Linked DNA regions of Elephas maximus indicus. The protein of the gene in region 2 binds, or shares a complex with, the protein of the main gene of each other region. Links are inferred from orthologs where the notes say so. Each region holds a gene or a part of one and is shown on either strand. Other genes may lie near its edges.

Evidence for each region. Proteins that work in one complex are often made in the same cells at the same time.
Region 1: the proteins of MMP10 (region 2) and TIMP2 are in contact, whole or in part, in a crystal structure (PDB 4ILW), measured with the Homo sapiens proteins. The link is inferred for Elephas maximus indicus from reciprocal best matches to the Homo sapiens genes MMP10 and TIMP2. Residues at the interface, in NP_002416.1 of Homo sapiens: Glu155, Asp169, Phe170, Tyr171, Ser172, Pro176, Gly177, His178, Ser179, Leu180, Ala181, His182, Ala183, Tyr184, Pro185, Pro188, Gly189, Leu190, Tyr191, Val214, His217, Glu218, His221, His227, Pro237, Leu238, Tyr239, Phe242; in NP_003246.1 of Homo sapiens: Cys27, Ser28, Cys29, Ser30, Pro31, Val32, Gln36, Ala37, Asn40, Ser57, Gly58, Asn59, Asp60, Tyr62, Asn64, Pro65, Ile66, Lys67, Arg68, Thr91, Ala92, Pro93, Ser94, Ser95, Ala96, Val97, Cys98, His123, Leu126, Cys127.

Annotation. Positions count from the first base shown.
Region 1 is NC_064837.1:68,805,111-68,812,168, reverse strand, and holds the start of TIMP2 (metalloproteinase inhibitor 2), read left to right. Parts: upstream 1-4,042; 5' UTR 4,043-4,346; coding exon 4,347-4,476; intron 4,477-7,058. UniProt on the Homo sapiens protein: Complexes with metalloproteinases (such as collagenases) and irreversibly inactivates them by binding to their catalytic zinc cofactor. Known to act on MMP-1, MMP-2, MMP-3, MMP-7, MMP-8, MMP-9, MMP-10, MMP-13, MMP-14, MMP-15, MMP-16 and MMP-19.
Region 2 is NC_064825.1:17,872,776-17,879,851, forward strand, and holds the start of MMP10 (stromelysin-2), read left to right. Parts: upstream 1-4,057; 5' UTR 4,058-4,093; coding exon 4,094-4,204; intron 4,205-4,980; coding exon 4,981-5,225; intron 5,226-5,323; coding exon 5,324-5,469; intron 5,470-5,590; coding exon 5,591-5,716; intron 5,717-7,076. UniProt on the Homo sapiens protein: Can degrade fibronectin, gelatins of type I, III, IV, and V; weakly collagens III, IV, and V. Activates procollagenase.

The DNA of each region.
Region 1 (7,058 bases), on a different chromosome or scaffold from region 2:
GGCCCTTACTATGTTCTAAGGTCCTTAGGTGGGGTAAACCATTTACGCTAGGTTACTAACCGAAAGGTTGGTGGTTTGAACCCATCCAGCAGCACTGAGGAAGAAAGGCCTGGTGACCTGCTTCTGTAAAGATTACAACCGAGAAAGCTCAATGGAGCAGTTCAACTTTGAAACACACGGAGCTGCCATGAGCTGGAGTCAGCTCTATGGCAACGTGTTTAGTTTTTGGTTTTTTACTATGTTCTAGGAGTCCCTGAGTGGTATAAACAGTTAATATGCTCAGCTGCTAAGCCAAAGGTTGGAGATTTGAGTCCACCCAAAAGTGCCTCGGAAGAAAGGCCTGGCAATCTACTTCTGAAAAATCAGTCACTGAAAACTCCATTGTCATGGATTGAATCGTGTCCCCAAAATATGTGTCAACTTGGTTAGGCCGTGATTCCCAGTATCGTGATTGTCCTCCTTTCTGTGATTTTTTTTTTTTTTTTTATTGTGCTTTAAGTCCTTTTGTGATTTTCTTATGTGTTATAAATCATACTCTCTGCCTGTGGTTAAGGAGGATTAGGGTGGGATGGAACACTCTTGCTCAGGTCACATCCCTGATCCAGTGTAAAGGGGGTTTCCCTGGGGTGTGCCCTGCACCACCTTTTATGTTACAAGAGATGAAAACAAAAGGAAGCAAGCAGATAGTGGGGGACCTCATACCACCAAGAAAGAAGCACCGGAAGCAGAGCAAGTCTTTTGGACCTGGGGTTCCTGCGTGGAGAAGTTCCTAAAACAGGGGAAGATTGATGACAAGGACCTTCCTCCAGATGTGACAGAGAGAGAAAGCCTTCCCTTGGAGCCCACGCCCTGAACTTGGACTTGTAGCCTACTAGACTGTGGGAGAATCAATTTCTGCTTGTTGAAGCCATCCACTTGTGGTATTTCTGTTATAGCGGCAGCAGGTGACTAGGACATCTGTGGAACACAGTTCTCTGACACACATGGGGTCACCATGAGTCGGGGGTCAACTTGACAGCAACTTTTTTTTTTTTTTATCCTTTAGGCCTGGGGATACAAAAAAAAAAAAAAACGAAACCAACAGTAATTTTCTCTCACTCCCCTCCCACCCCCCAGAACTTATATGCTAGTGGTGGTGGTGGTGGGATGGGGAATAGACAACAAATAAAATAAAAAGTCAAATACAGGGCCTAGTAGGTGGTGATGGAAACGCCGGGCAGTAAAAAGGGTGGAATGCGAGGACAAGGTGGGTAGTAATTTGAATAAGGTTGGTCAGGAAAGGCCCTGCTGCAGGTGACCTCCTAGCAAAGGGGTGATGAGGAAGTAGCCACGGAGGCTTCGCTGGGCGCTGTCCTGACTTGGTTTCATTCCGAAAGACATGGGAGTCACCACTGGGCTTTGAGGGGAGGGGAGACATTTTCAAAGCCCCCCACGCCCTGGGGCACTCTGTTGAGAATTGACTATAGGGCCAAGGTGGAACCCGGGGCCAGCAGAGGAGGTGTGATAGCAGGAAGTGGGGAGAAGGGAGGGATTGCAGAGGTGTGGCCGGCAGATGAAGGGTGGGGAGCAAGAGAGGAGCTAGAGGAGCCCCTGGCTCCTACGAGGGCACCTAGGCAATGGAGGTACCGTGCCTGGGTTCCTGAGCCAGGGAGGCGCAGCAGTGGGTTTGGTGAAAAGAACACGAGGTAGGGTTGGACACGTGAGATGCAGAAATAAATGTGGCCCAGGAACCCAGAGTGGGCACTCAGCTCTGGCCACACTGGGGAGACCAGAAGGAGCCGCAAAGGAGGCTGGGGAGGGGTGTGGGCAGCCAGGTGTGCTGGCAGAGGACGAAGTCCTGAAAGCATGGGAGGGCAGGTCTAGGAGGATGGCGTGATCCGCCTCGCCAAGTGCTGTTGGTACATCAAGTACCGTGTACCCTCAGGTGGGATTCTGGTACCCATGACCTCCGCGGAGAGCAATTTGGAGCCAGAATGGAGTGGGATTGAGAGAAGGGAGGAGAACTGGAAACTTCGAGTCTAGCCGCTTATCTGCAAGAGATTTATGCAGAGGGACGCTGAAAAACGGGGCGCTCTGGCGGGGGCAGTTAGCAGTGGGGTCCAAAGATGTTTGTTTAGCTCTTGCCGGGAGATACTCCAGCCTGTTTGTGTGCTGGTGGGATGGTTCGGTGGGAGGGACACCCTGAGGCAGGTGGGTAGCTGTGGGGCTGGGGGACCTGGTCTCCATGGAGAGGTCAGCCCCAACCAAGCAGCCACCCAGGCCCTTCAGTGCCTCTGCTGTGCAGGCCGAGAGGCCCCACTCCTGTTTTGCACCATCCAGCCTGCCTCTAAGGTGCTGACCACGCTAACACAGACTTGATCACTTGCATTTACATCTTGGCTAAAAGCCTGGGAACTCCTTAAGTTATCTGCTTCTCTTATAGGCTGACCAATTGATTCTAGATTCCGTAAAGCTCTCCAGCATTTCTTCCACTTAGAACGCAAAAGAAAAGAGGGAAGGAAGAAATAGAGCGCTTATGAGCAGCCGAAGTGTAATAATTTTCTGAATTACCTCTAGAAATTTAGCATCAAATATTTTGTGAACGATGCAGCTATATTTTATGCTAACAGAAGCTGAAAAAGTGACTTTGGATTTGTAAGGGTGCTAAAAAACAACTACCCTGCATACTAACTTTTCTCCAAATTGCCTGTTTGAAAGCACACACAATCAAAAAGGCAACATTTTTCCATTCTTCCAATATTTCCCTAGGTTCCATGTCTCCAGTCAGCACCACTCAATTGCGCAGGCCCTTACTGTTTAATTGGGTCGTTTTCTGGGTTGACGTCTCCTTTGCCAGATTACAAACGTCCTGAGGGCAGGAAAGACATCCTGTAGAACAGCTCAGCACCCTCTGCACACAGTGGGGTGCACAGAGGGGGTGCAGAGGCTGGTCACAGAAGGGGTATACAGAGGGGGTGCACAGAGGTGGGTCACAGAGAGGGGCAGACGGGGGTGCACAGAGAGGGTGTCAGAGGGGGTGCATAGATGGGGTGCAGAGATGAGTGCACAGAGAGGGTATACAGAGGGGGCACAGAGGTGACTGCACAGAGGGGGTGCAGAGGGGGGTGCAAAGTGGAGGTGCAGAGAGGTGTGCACAGAGGGGGTACAGGGCAGGTTCAGTGGCAGATAGACAGGGACCCTGTCCCCATTGTCTACACAGCCATCCACACTTGACATGTTGTCCACACCTTCGAGTTCCTCGCCTTTCCTAGAACTTAGAACTGTTCTGGGAAAAGTTCTTTTCAGTTCCAAAATATGTGGGTTAAGGGAGGGAGCCATGAGCAGAGCAGCAGCTGCCTTCCAGGCGATCCTACTGGCTCCTGGGCTCCTGAGCCCACCCCCTGCCCTTGTTGGCTGGTCAAAAATATGGCCAGTTTATGTAAAATCCTGTTTTGTTCACAGTAACCACTCCCCCCTCGCCCAACTAAACTAGCCAAGCACAGTTAAAATTCTGAAGCCTCCATTGGAAAAAGGAGCCCTAGTACGTTTCTCCAAGGCCACCCACCCACAGAGGGTACAGGAGGGGCGGCAGGGATGACCCCTATTCCAAAGGGCATGTCCCCTTTGCTCCATTTGGTGGCTCCAAATGTCCAAGGGGTCCCAAAGGTGGCTGGGGTCAGGCAGTGGATCCTGGCACCAAGCTGGAGGGGAGGGGTGGTCGGTGGGCTGCCTGGTGCCCTTGAGCCACCGACCTTGGAGCCCTAAGTGCTGAGTCAGGCCCCCCGGGCGCTGCCCGCCACCGAGGAGGCCACCCCAACCTCAGGCGATTTGGGGGGCTGCCCCGGGGAGGAGCGGCCCCCCGCAGTGGGAAGCTAGGTGGGCAGCGGGCTGGCCCAGGCCGGGGCTGCGGCCAGTGGCGCAGGAGGGCCCAGAGGTGCCAGGCTGAGCGCAACAAAAGCCGGGGTTTTGGTGAGGGCCGGGCGGCGCGGAGGAGGGGGCTGCTGGGAGCCCGCGCTGCACTGGCCGCCAGCCACCGGGAGGAGGAGCAGAGGCTCCTCGAGCTCAGTAAAACGCCCGCGCGACCGAGCCCGCACCACACGGTCGGTGGAAGGCAGAGCGAGCCGAGCCGGAGCCAGGCTGCGGCGCCCGCCCGCTCTCTCCTCCGCGCGGGAAAGCGCCCGGCCGGCCCAGCCGCGCCCGGACAAAGCGCATAAAGTTTGCGCGGCGCGGGGCCCGGTGCGGAGGGTGCGCCGCCCGTGGGCCCAGTGCCCGGCCGCGCGAGCCTACCCCGGCTCGGCCCGCGCCCCGAGGACGCCCAGAGGCGGCGCAGCGCAGCCCGGCCGAGCCGCGCAAGCAGCCGGCCCGCCATGGGCGCCGCGGCCCGCAGTCTGCGCCTGGCGCTCGGCCTCCTGCTACTGGTGGCGCCGCTCCGCCCGGCCGACGCCTGCAGCTGCTCCCCGGTGCACCCGCAACAGGCGTTTTGCAATGCAGATGTAGGTAAGGAGCAGCATTCGCGGCCCCGCGCGGCCCCACCGCCCCCTTGGGGACCCCGCGCCCTCCCCCAGGGCCCTCGCCTCCTCTGGAATCCTGCAAGTTGACGCCAAACCCTACTTTCTTTTTCCCTTTCCTTCGTGCCCTTTCTTTCCCTTGCTTCGCCGAGACGTTTCTCGACCTCAAAATTCCACCGAAATCCCAGCGGGGCTCCAACCCGGGATCAGGGAGCCAGGGAACGATCGGGCTTTGGCAGGCGGCGCGCCCTCGGATGCCAGTGCTGGGGCGGGGAAGGGGGGCACAGCGCTGGGTGGGGGTGGGGGGATCCACCTCGGTGGGCTGGAGGGGTGGGCACCCTCAGAAAAACTTTCCAGGTGAGGTGGAATTGGGCTCCCCTGGGCTTGGGGCTGGGCGAGGAAGGACATCTGGCCTGGCCTTCGCCCAACAGCCCATTTGGGGTTGGCCTGATTAAGGGGGTTGAGGGATGGAAGCCCCCCTACTGGGGCAGGTTGCTGGAACCCAGAGAGGCCATGGAGACCCTCAGTAGGGCCCCGTGGGCTGGCTTTTTGCCCTGTACGGGGCTCCACAAACAGGCCTGGGCAGGGAGGGGGACCCCCTGGCGCTTTACCCCTTGTGACTGTTTTTTCAGGACATCTATCCAAACGGAAGACTTAGGTCACTGCAGGGGTGGGTGGGGCTGGTTTGGCTGCTTTAACTCCCCAGCAAATATCTTGCCCTCAGGGCTCCTTGTCCCCAGGCGATGGGAGGGAGGAAGAGACACAAAGCTGGGCAGTGCAGGTTCCAGCTCTGATGCTCACAGGCCTCTCTGGCCTTGGGGCTGTTAGCCAAGGGGGTATTTTTTTCCTGGGCCATTCAGTTTAACCAAAACAACAAATACCCAGCAGATGGACCTCTGCAGCCCCTCAGCCTTCCCCATGGGGTTATTTTTGCTCCTCAGCCTCACCAAGCCCAGCATCCTGACACAAGGCCAGGTGCTTGGGGCAGGCCCCTCATGGCCAGACTCAAGCGAGCCTCTCCCTGTTGCCCCTGTGTTCAGCAATGCTCCCCATCCTCAGACCCCACCCGGCTCCTGGTTGCACCCGGTTGCCCTTGGGCTGCCCTGCTGCCCAGGTGGGAAGTTTTCAGTGCTCCTACCCGTGGGAAGGTATGGCCCAGGGCACCTGGGCTTGGGTGTGTGAGTGGCTGGAGAGGAGTTTCCAGAAAATCCGACTTAGGGGCAGTGAGGGCTTTGGTGCTCAGCAAGATATGGTGAAGCACGAGAGAATCTTCTCATTGGGAAACCAGGTGGGCTTCCTGCAGGGAAAGAGAGGGAGTACCTCCTTCCCACCCACCCTGCAGAGCAGCCAGGCAGGCAGGGGTAGGCTCAGGAGGACCCACACGGCTCCTTAGTCTCAAGGGCTCATTCTCAGGCACCCACTGGGAAGGAGCTGGACCACGGCCGCACCCATCATCCTGGCTCCCTGCCCCTTCCCACTGACCGCCTAGTTGTAAGGTGGCTGCAGGTGAGGCTGGTGGCTGTTTCTGCTTTGGGTTGGCATCAAAGACTTCAAAGATCAGGGAGCTTCAATATGCCCTGAGGCAACTTCTCATTTTCTGAATGTCTCCCATCTGCCTGGATTTCCTGGCATTTGCGTCTCAGGCATTGCAGGGAAGTCATCGAATAGCCCAAGTTTTTAACCCCACCTCAGCTCGTAGGTCCAGGCAGGGCTCAGAGCCACACGCCACAGCCCGAGTTGCCCCCCTTGCACCACATTTCCTTCACCCGCGGACGGCTTGGGGTACAGAGCAGGGCACCCCCTCAAAAAACCAGCCGCCGTTGAGTTGATTCTGACTCACAGTGACCCCTCGTGTGTCGGAGTAAAACCATGGGATTTTCAGTGGCTGATTTTTCAGGAGTAGATTGCCAGGCCTTCCAAGACGCCTCTGGGTGGACTCAAACCTCCAGCCTTTCAGTTAGCAGCCTAGGGCATTAATGATTTGCACCACCCAGGGACTCTGAGGACATCGCAGATTAAGGTTATTACGAGCCAGGCCCCTGAGGGGCTCTCAGATAAAGCCAACAGTGAAATAATGGTTCCCCACCTTGGCTGAGAGCCGGATTGCCCGGGGGGCTTTTAAAACCTGCACAGGCCTGGGTCCCTCTGTATAAGATGCCAGTACAGAAGGTCTGGCCCAGGACCTAGGCTTTTGTGCTTTTAAAAGCCCCCACGCCCCCAGGTGTTTCAGTGCAGCCAGAGGCCTGGGAGAAGGGCGGTGGCCTGGCACCTGTGTCGGGTTAATAAGAGGCTGACTTTTCTCTGGCATGCTTGCTCCTTTTATTGTTGGTAGATGCAGACTTTGTAATGGTCTGCTGTCTGCAAGAGACAATTGACTTAAGATACTCAGATTTCTCTTTAATGAAACAATCCTGCCCATGGGAAGATTCCTGGGAGCTCTCTCCTGGGCTCTTGCTGATGGTAAGATTGGAACCGTGGTCAGCAAAAAGGTTCGTTATGAGGTTATAAACATAGTGTGGAGGTGATCTGGTCTCCCCGAAGGCCCCAGCTCCCTGACCTTTCCAGCAAAGC
Region 2 (7,076 bases):
TTCAGGGACTCGTCCCTCTTGATAATATGTCCAAAGTATGTGAGACAACGTGTTGCCATCTTTGTTTCTAAGGAACATTCTGGCTGTACTTCTTCCAATACAGATTTGTTCATTCTTCCTGCAGTCCATAGTATATTCAATATTCTTTGCCAATACCATAATTCAAAGGTATCAATTCTTCTTTGGTCCTCCTTATTCATTGTCTAGCTTTCACATGCATATGAGGTGATTTAAAATACTGTTGCTTGGTCAGGCACACCTTAGTACTCAAAGTGATGTCTTTGCTTTTTTATCACTTAAAATAGGTCTTTTGCAGTAGATTTTCCCAGTGCAATATGTTGTTTGATTTCTTGACTGCTGCTTCCGTTGGTGTTGCTTGTGAACCCGAGTAAAATGAAAACCTTGACAGGTTCAATGTGTTCGCCATTTCTCATGATGTTGCTTATTGGTCCAGTTGAGAGGATTCTTGTTTTCTTTATGTTGAGGTGTAATCCATAGCGAAGGCTGCGATCTTTTATCTTCATTGGTAAGTGCTTCATGTCCTCCTTTCAACAAACAAGGTTGTGTCATCTGCATATTGCAGGTTGTTAATGAGTCTTCCTCCAATCTTTATGCTGTGTTCTTCTTCATATAGTCCAGCTTCTATGATTATATGCTCAGCATATTTATTGAATAAGTATGATGAAAGGAGATAACCCTGACTCACACCTTTCCTGATTTTAAACCAGGCGGTATCCCCTTGTTCTGTTCAAATAACTGCCTCTTGGTCTGTTCCTCATGAACACAATTAAGTGGTCTGAAATTTCCATTCTTGCCAACGTTTCCATAATTTTTTATGAATGACGAGTGCTTTTGCATAGTCAATAAAACACAGGTGAACATCTCTCTGGTATTCTCTGCTTTCAGCCAAGATCCATCTGACATCAGCAATGATATCACCCTTCCACGTCCTCTTCTCAATCTGGCTTGAATTTCTGGCAGTTCCCTGTTGAGGTATTGCTACAAGAGCTTTTGAATGATCTTCAGCAAAATTTAACTTGCGTGTGATATTAACAATATTGTTCTAAAATTACGTTTGACACCTTTCTTTGGAATGGACACAAATATGGATCTCTTCCAGTTGATTGGCCAGGTAGTTATCTTCCAAATTTCTTGGCATAGATGAGTGAGCACCTCCAGCACTGTATTCATTTGTTGCTACATCTCAGTTGGTATTCTGTCAATTCTTGGAACCTTGTTTTCCGCCAGTGCTTTCAGTGCAGCTGGGACTTCTTGCTCCAGCACCCTCAGGTCTTGATCGTATGCTACCTCCTGAAATGGTTGAACATCGATCAATACTTTTTGGTACGGTGACCCTGTGTATTCCTTCCATCCTTTCAGGTTCTTTTGATTCTTCCTGCATCATTCACTTTCAAACTGCTTATGTCCTTGGATTGTGGCTCTTGTAAACAACATACCTTTTTTTTTTTTAAATCCACTCAGCCACTGTCAACCTTTTGATTAGAGCATTTAGACCATTTGCATTCACTGTAATTGTTGATGAGAGGTAACTTACGTCGTTTTGTTTTTTTGTTTTCTGAATGTCTTAAGCCTTCTTTGTCTTTGTCCTTTAGTGCTTGCTTTTTGTGTTTTGTTGGTTTATTGTAGTGAGTCTATTTGTTTCCCTTCTCCTTTCCTTTTGTGTATTTTTTTAAATATATTTTCTTACTGGTTACTCTGAATATTGTATATAAGAACTTGTATTTATAACATTCTAGGTAAGTTGGTGCCATCTTAAATAATATACAGGAAATTCTATATCTATACCAATCCTCTCCTCCCCTTTTGTTGTTTTTATCACTAATTGTTTATATTTCATTTGCCCTGTAAAACAGACCAAATTTTAATTGCCCTTATTTTTGGAGCCCTAGTGGCACAGCGATTAAGTGTCATGGCTGTTAACCAAAAGGTCCACAATTCAAATCCATCAGTTGCTTCTTGAAAGCCCTATGAGGCCATTCTACTCTGTTCTATAGGGTCACTATGAGTTGAATCACTTGACAGCGATGGATTTGGTTTTTTGGCTTATTATTGTTTTAAATTCTTTATGGCTGATACTCTCTCTCATTGCCTCTACCCAGCATGGACCACTCCTACAGCCCACACTTTGCATACCACTGTGTTGTGCACTGAGTGAAATCCCTCAAATCTTTTCTAGAAAACTATGGGAGAAAGAAAGCAAAAAAGAGAATCCATATGGGAAGTTAAAGGACTAATATTTATGGAACACTGGCTAAGCGAAGGACAATTTATATGTAACATATCATGTAATTCTTATAAACCATTTTTATAGATGAAAGAACAATGTCCTTCAGAAATTAGATATATTTAACCTAAAGATGGCAACTTAGTCAAACACATTATGCCATCCCTGTACAGCAAAGACACGAGAAACCAAATAAAAAAGATGCAGATGACAATCCTTGAACCCTGAACATCAAAAAGAATGGTAAAGAATTCAAACAACATTTGGAAGAAGAACCAAGCCAGCAAACACGGAGTGATATGGAGTGAAGGTTCCCTGACATGGATGGAAATGGGGAGAGTGCTGACGTATTGTGGGGATTGCTACCAAATGTCAGGAACAATCTGTGTCTTATTTATTGAATGGGAAACTAATTTGCTGTGTAAACTTTCACCTAAAGCTAATAAAATGTTCCCAAAACAATTTTTGTATATTTGCTCAAAGCCATCCAGCTGACTTTGAGTCTGGCTGTAAGCCCCTTTCCCTCTGTTTTCAAGCTGAGGTTCCTTCCACTGCACCACACTATAGAGCAAACCCTTGGCTATATTAAGCCACAGGTTGACATGGGCCGATCAGTGCCCATCCAGATTTCTTTCCAATTCTGGTGCAAGGTTTTAGAGCCTCCAGGTTCCTGAAGTTTCCATCTTGTCTAGTCAATCTCAAGTAGGGTGAAGATAGTTGGTGGTGCTGATGGGATCATGCCTGCACACCCATAAATTCAGTCTCCTATTCCTTTGCATATTCCAGGTATGGTAGAGTTCATTTATCTTTAGTGAGGAAAAAGAAAGATAATTCTATCTTAAAAGAATTTTACTGTCTTTTATATTAATAGATTAATTTGACAAAAATGTTATCCCAGACTTACAATGTGAAAGCACTCGGCTGAGGGGAAAAAAAGAGAGAAAATGCTATTGATGGACAGGAGTAGATGGTTAGATATGTGACGGAAAAGGAGTATTTGAAATTATTCCCCTTCACAAATTTCAATCCATCTCCTCTTTGTCCTTTAGTAGGAGGAAAAGAAGATAAAAAGGTTTTTTTAAAGCAACAAAGAAGAGGAAGGTAGGAGGAACATTTCATTCTAATATGCAATTTGACAAGTTTTTATCAAGCAGTTACAAAGAGCATATCATTTATTCTGAAATGGACAATGAATGAAAACCAAAGACGAATCGGTGTGATTCTTCCTTCCTCTACAGACCCTCTTTTCCATGGCCCACTCCCTTCTCACGGTGTTCCTCCTCCAGGGCCAGTAAATCCATCTGGAAACTTGTAATAACTGCTTTAAACAAGGACTCAAAAAATGAAATACCTCTCCTAATATCCTCCTAGAGATAAGTTTCCATATTTAGACCACAATTATATTTGGAATTTCCTTCCGTTCAACTACTTTTTCCTAACCCACTTATATTTGAGCTTAAAATAAACTATTCCTAAAAAAAACCTGAACAGATTTAGAAAGGTCTGAACTTTTGACTTTTTACCAATAAACACATAAACATGAATGATCTAGTAGTTTCTTTTTCCACTTCATAAACACAGAAGCCACTTCCTAGAAATTAATCATTCTCTTGTGCATTTCGAAGTTCAAGGGAAATTACTGATAGAGTCTGTATCATCTTCCTGTTGAATTCTGGTGACCCTTTCCGGTTTCATTCAGATAAAAAAAAAAAAAAAAGAAAGAGCACACACACACCTTAGTCACCAAACACACATGATGATATAAGCCTTGTCGCCCTATATAAGTCCAGCCACTAGCAGGTAGAGAGAGAAGCCAGTAGTCACAGAAGGTGTTTTCCTTTGGTGAAAATGGTGAGAATGAGGCACCTTGTCGTCCTTGTGCTGTTATGTCTGCCAATTTGCTTGGCCTATCCACTGGCTGGGGCAGTGAAGGAGGATTCAAACATGGATCTCGTCCAGGTAATTAATGGTGGGGGCCATGACGCCCCTGGTCAGTCCAAGTGGAGAGACAAGTGTGTTTGTTTCAGCTTGATAATCAGAGGAGGAGGGGATTACAGCCAGACTCAAAGTCAGCTGTAAGCAGAATGATTCGATTGGGGGTTATTATGTTGGGATAACTTAGGATCAGGGAGATTAAAGTGCTAGAAGTGGAAGTCCCTTCATTTTAACAGAAAATGAAAAAGAGGCCCAGGAAGAAGAGATAATTACTTAAGGTCACACAATAAAATATTACAGGCAGCTTCAGGACTAAGTGAAGAGAATAAATGGAAAGCTTCTGAAAAACTGATTTTAGAATTTCCTTAGTTAAAATAATAGCAGGGTGGGGAGAACATGTGAATTTTAGTCTTGCAATGATACCAAGTAATAATGTTTATATCGTTGGTTGTCATGTTTGGACACAAGAATTTGTCCCATTTAGTCTTGACCAGGTTTATATTAACAACGTAAAGTGGAAAAAGTTAGACATGCTCAAAGTATGCATACAATTATGTTTCTCTTTTTTAAACAGGTTGGATCTAAATTCTCAACTTCAAATTCTTTACTTGGCTAGCAGATTAAATTGCAATGAAATTTAAAACTTAGTACAAAGATAAAATAATGAAATCAGGAGTCTTCATGAAAAATCAAATTAAGTGTGCTGTTTGCTTTGGTTTCAATAAACTAGAGAATAATTAAATTGTGACATTCAGGCAACTGTAAAAATTACCTAAAATCTATGCTTATTTTTTCATAAGCAATATCTAGAAAAATACTATGACCTTGCAAAAGATGTGAAACAGTTTGTAAGAAGAAAGGACAGCAGCCCTATGGTTAGAAAAATTCAAGAAATGCAGAAGTTCCTTGGGTTGGAGGTGACGGGGAAGCTGGACTCCAACACCCTGGAGGTGATGCGCAAGCCCAGATGTGGAGTCCCCGATGTCGGTCAATTCACTACCTTTCCTAGCTCACCAAAGTGGAGGAAGACTCACCTTACTTACAGGTAATTTTTACTTATAGGTTTTCACATAAGATTATAAGATTATACTCTGTAAATTACTGTCACAGGAGAAAATGTTACCTTCTATTTTTCTTTTACAGGATTGTGAATTATACACTGGATCTGCCAAGAGATGCTGTTGATGCCGCCATTGAGAAAGCTCTGAAAGTCTGGGAGGAGGTGACTCCTCTCACATTCTCCAGGAATAATGGAGAGGCTGACATAATGATCTCCTTTGCTGTCAGAGGTAAATAATAATTATTTTTAAAAACATGAAATATATCCATGTATCAGGTTTTTTTTTGGAAAAATTAAAAAGAAATCCTAATTATTCATCTCTCCAATAAAAAAATCATTTTCCCTGTTAGAACATGGGGACTTTTTCCCTTTTGATGGACCTGGAGCCACTGTGGCTCACGCCTATGCACCTGGGCCAGGGATAAATGGAGATGTTCACTTCGATGATGATGAACGATGGACAGAGGATAAAACAGGTGGGTCATAACTCTCTCAAAATGATTTCAGAAATAATGCCCATCTCTATCCAAGATAGATGTATACCTGTGTTTTATTGACTACGCAAAGGCATTTGACTGTGTGAATCATAACAAATTATGGATAACATTGCAAAGAAAGGGAATTCCAGAACACTTAATCGTGCTCATGAGGAACCTGCACATAGGCCAAGAGGCAGCCATCAGAACAGGTTAAGGGGATACTGTGTGGTTTAAAATCAGGAAGGGCATGCATCAGGGGTGTATCCTTTCACTGTACTTATTTAATCTGTATGCTGAGCAAATAACCCAAAAAACTTCATGAAGAAGAACATGGCATCAGGATTTGAGGAAGACTCATTAAAAACTTTCAACATGCAGATGACAAATTTTGCTTGTGGAAAGGGAAAAGGGCTCAAAGCACTTACCAATGAAGAGCAAAGACTTCAGCCTTCAGTATGGATTATACCTCAATATAAAGAAGACAAAAATCCTCACAACCGTAATAAGCTCCATCATGATAACTGGAGGAAATATTGAAGTGGCTAAGGTTTTATACTTTACTTGGATCCACAATGAACACCATGGAAGCAACAGTCAAGAAATCAAGCAACATATTGCATTGGGCAAATCTGCTGCAAAAGATCTCTTGAAAGTGTTGAAAAGCAAAAACATCCCTTTGAGGACTATGGTGTGCCCGATCCAAGCCATGGTATTTTCAATTGCCTCATATGCATACAAAAGCAGGACAACGATTAAGGAAGACTGAGTAAGAATTGATGCCTTTCAAGTATGGTGTTGGCAAAGAATACTGAATATACCATGGCCTGCCAGAAGAATGAAAAAGTCAGTCTTGGAAGAAGTACAGCTAGAGTGCTCCTTGGCAGTAAAGTTGGTGAGACTTTGTCTCAAGTACTTTGGACATGTTATCAGGAGGGACCAGTCAGTCCCTGGAGAAGGACATCATGCTTGGTAATGTAGAGGGTCAGTGAAAGAGAGGAAGACCCTCAACGAGATGAACTGGCACAGTGGCTGCAACGATGGGCTCAGGTGTAGCAAAGATTGTAAGGATTGTACAGGACTGGACAGTGTTTCATTCTGTTGTACATAGTGTCTATGAGTTGGAACTGACTCAACAGCACCTAACACCTATCCCAGAAGAATTTGTTTATCCAGATAGAGCAGTAAATGGAACATCCTAAGTAACTAAAATTTCTAATTAGCTGAGTGGTAACGAGAAGCACTCTTTGTCCTAATCCTTATTGAAGAACTTCATAAAATGTCTGCATTTCTTTCGTGCCCCACCAGGCACACTATAATAAGCACCATTCAATTTTACAATAACTAAGTTATTGTTTCT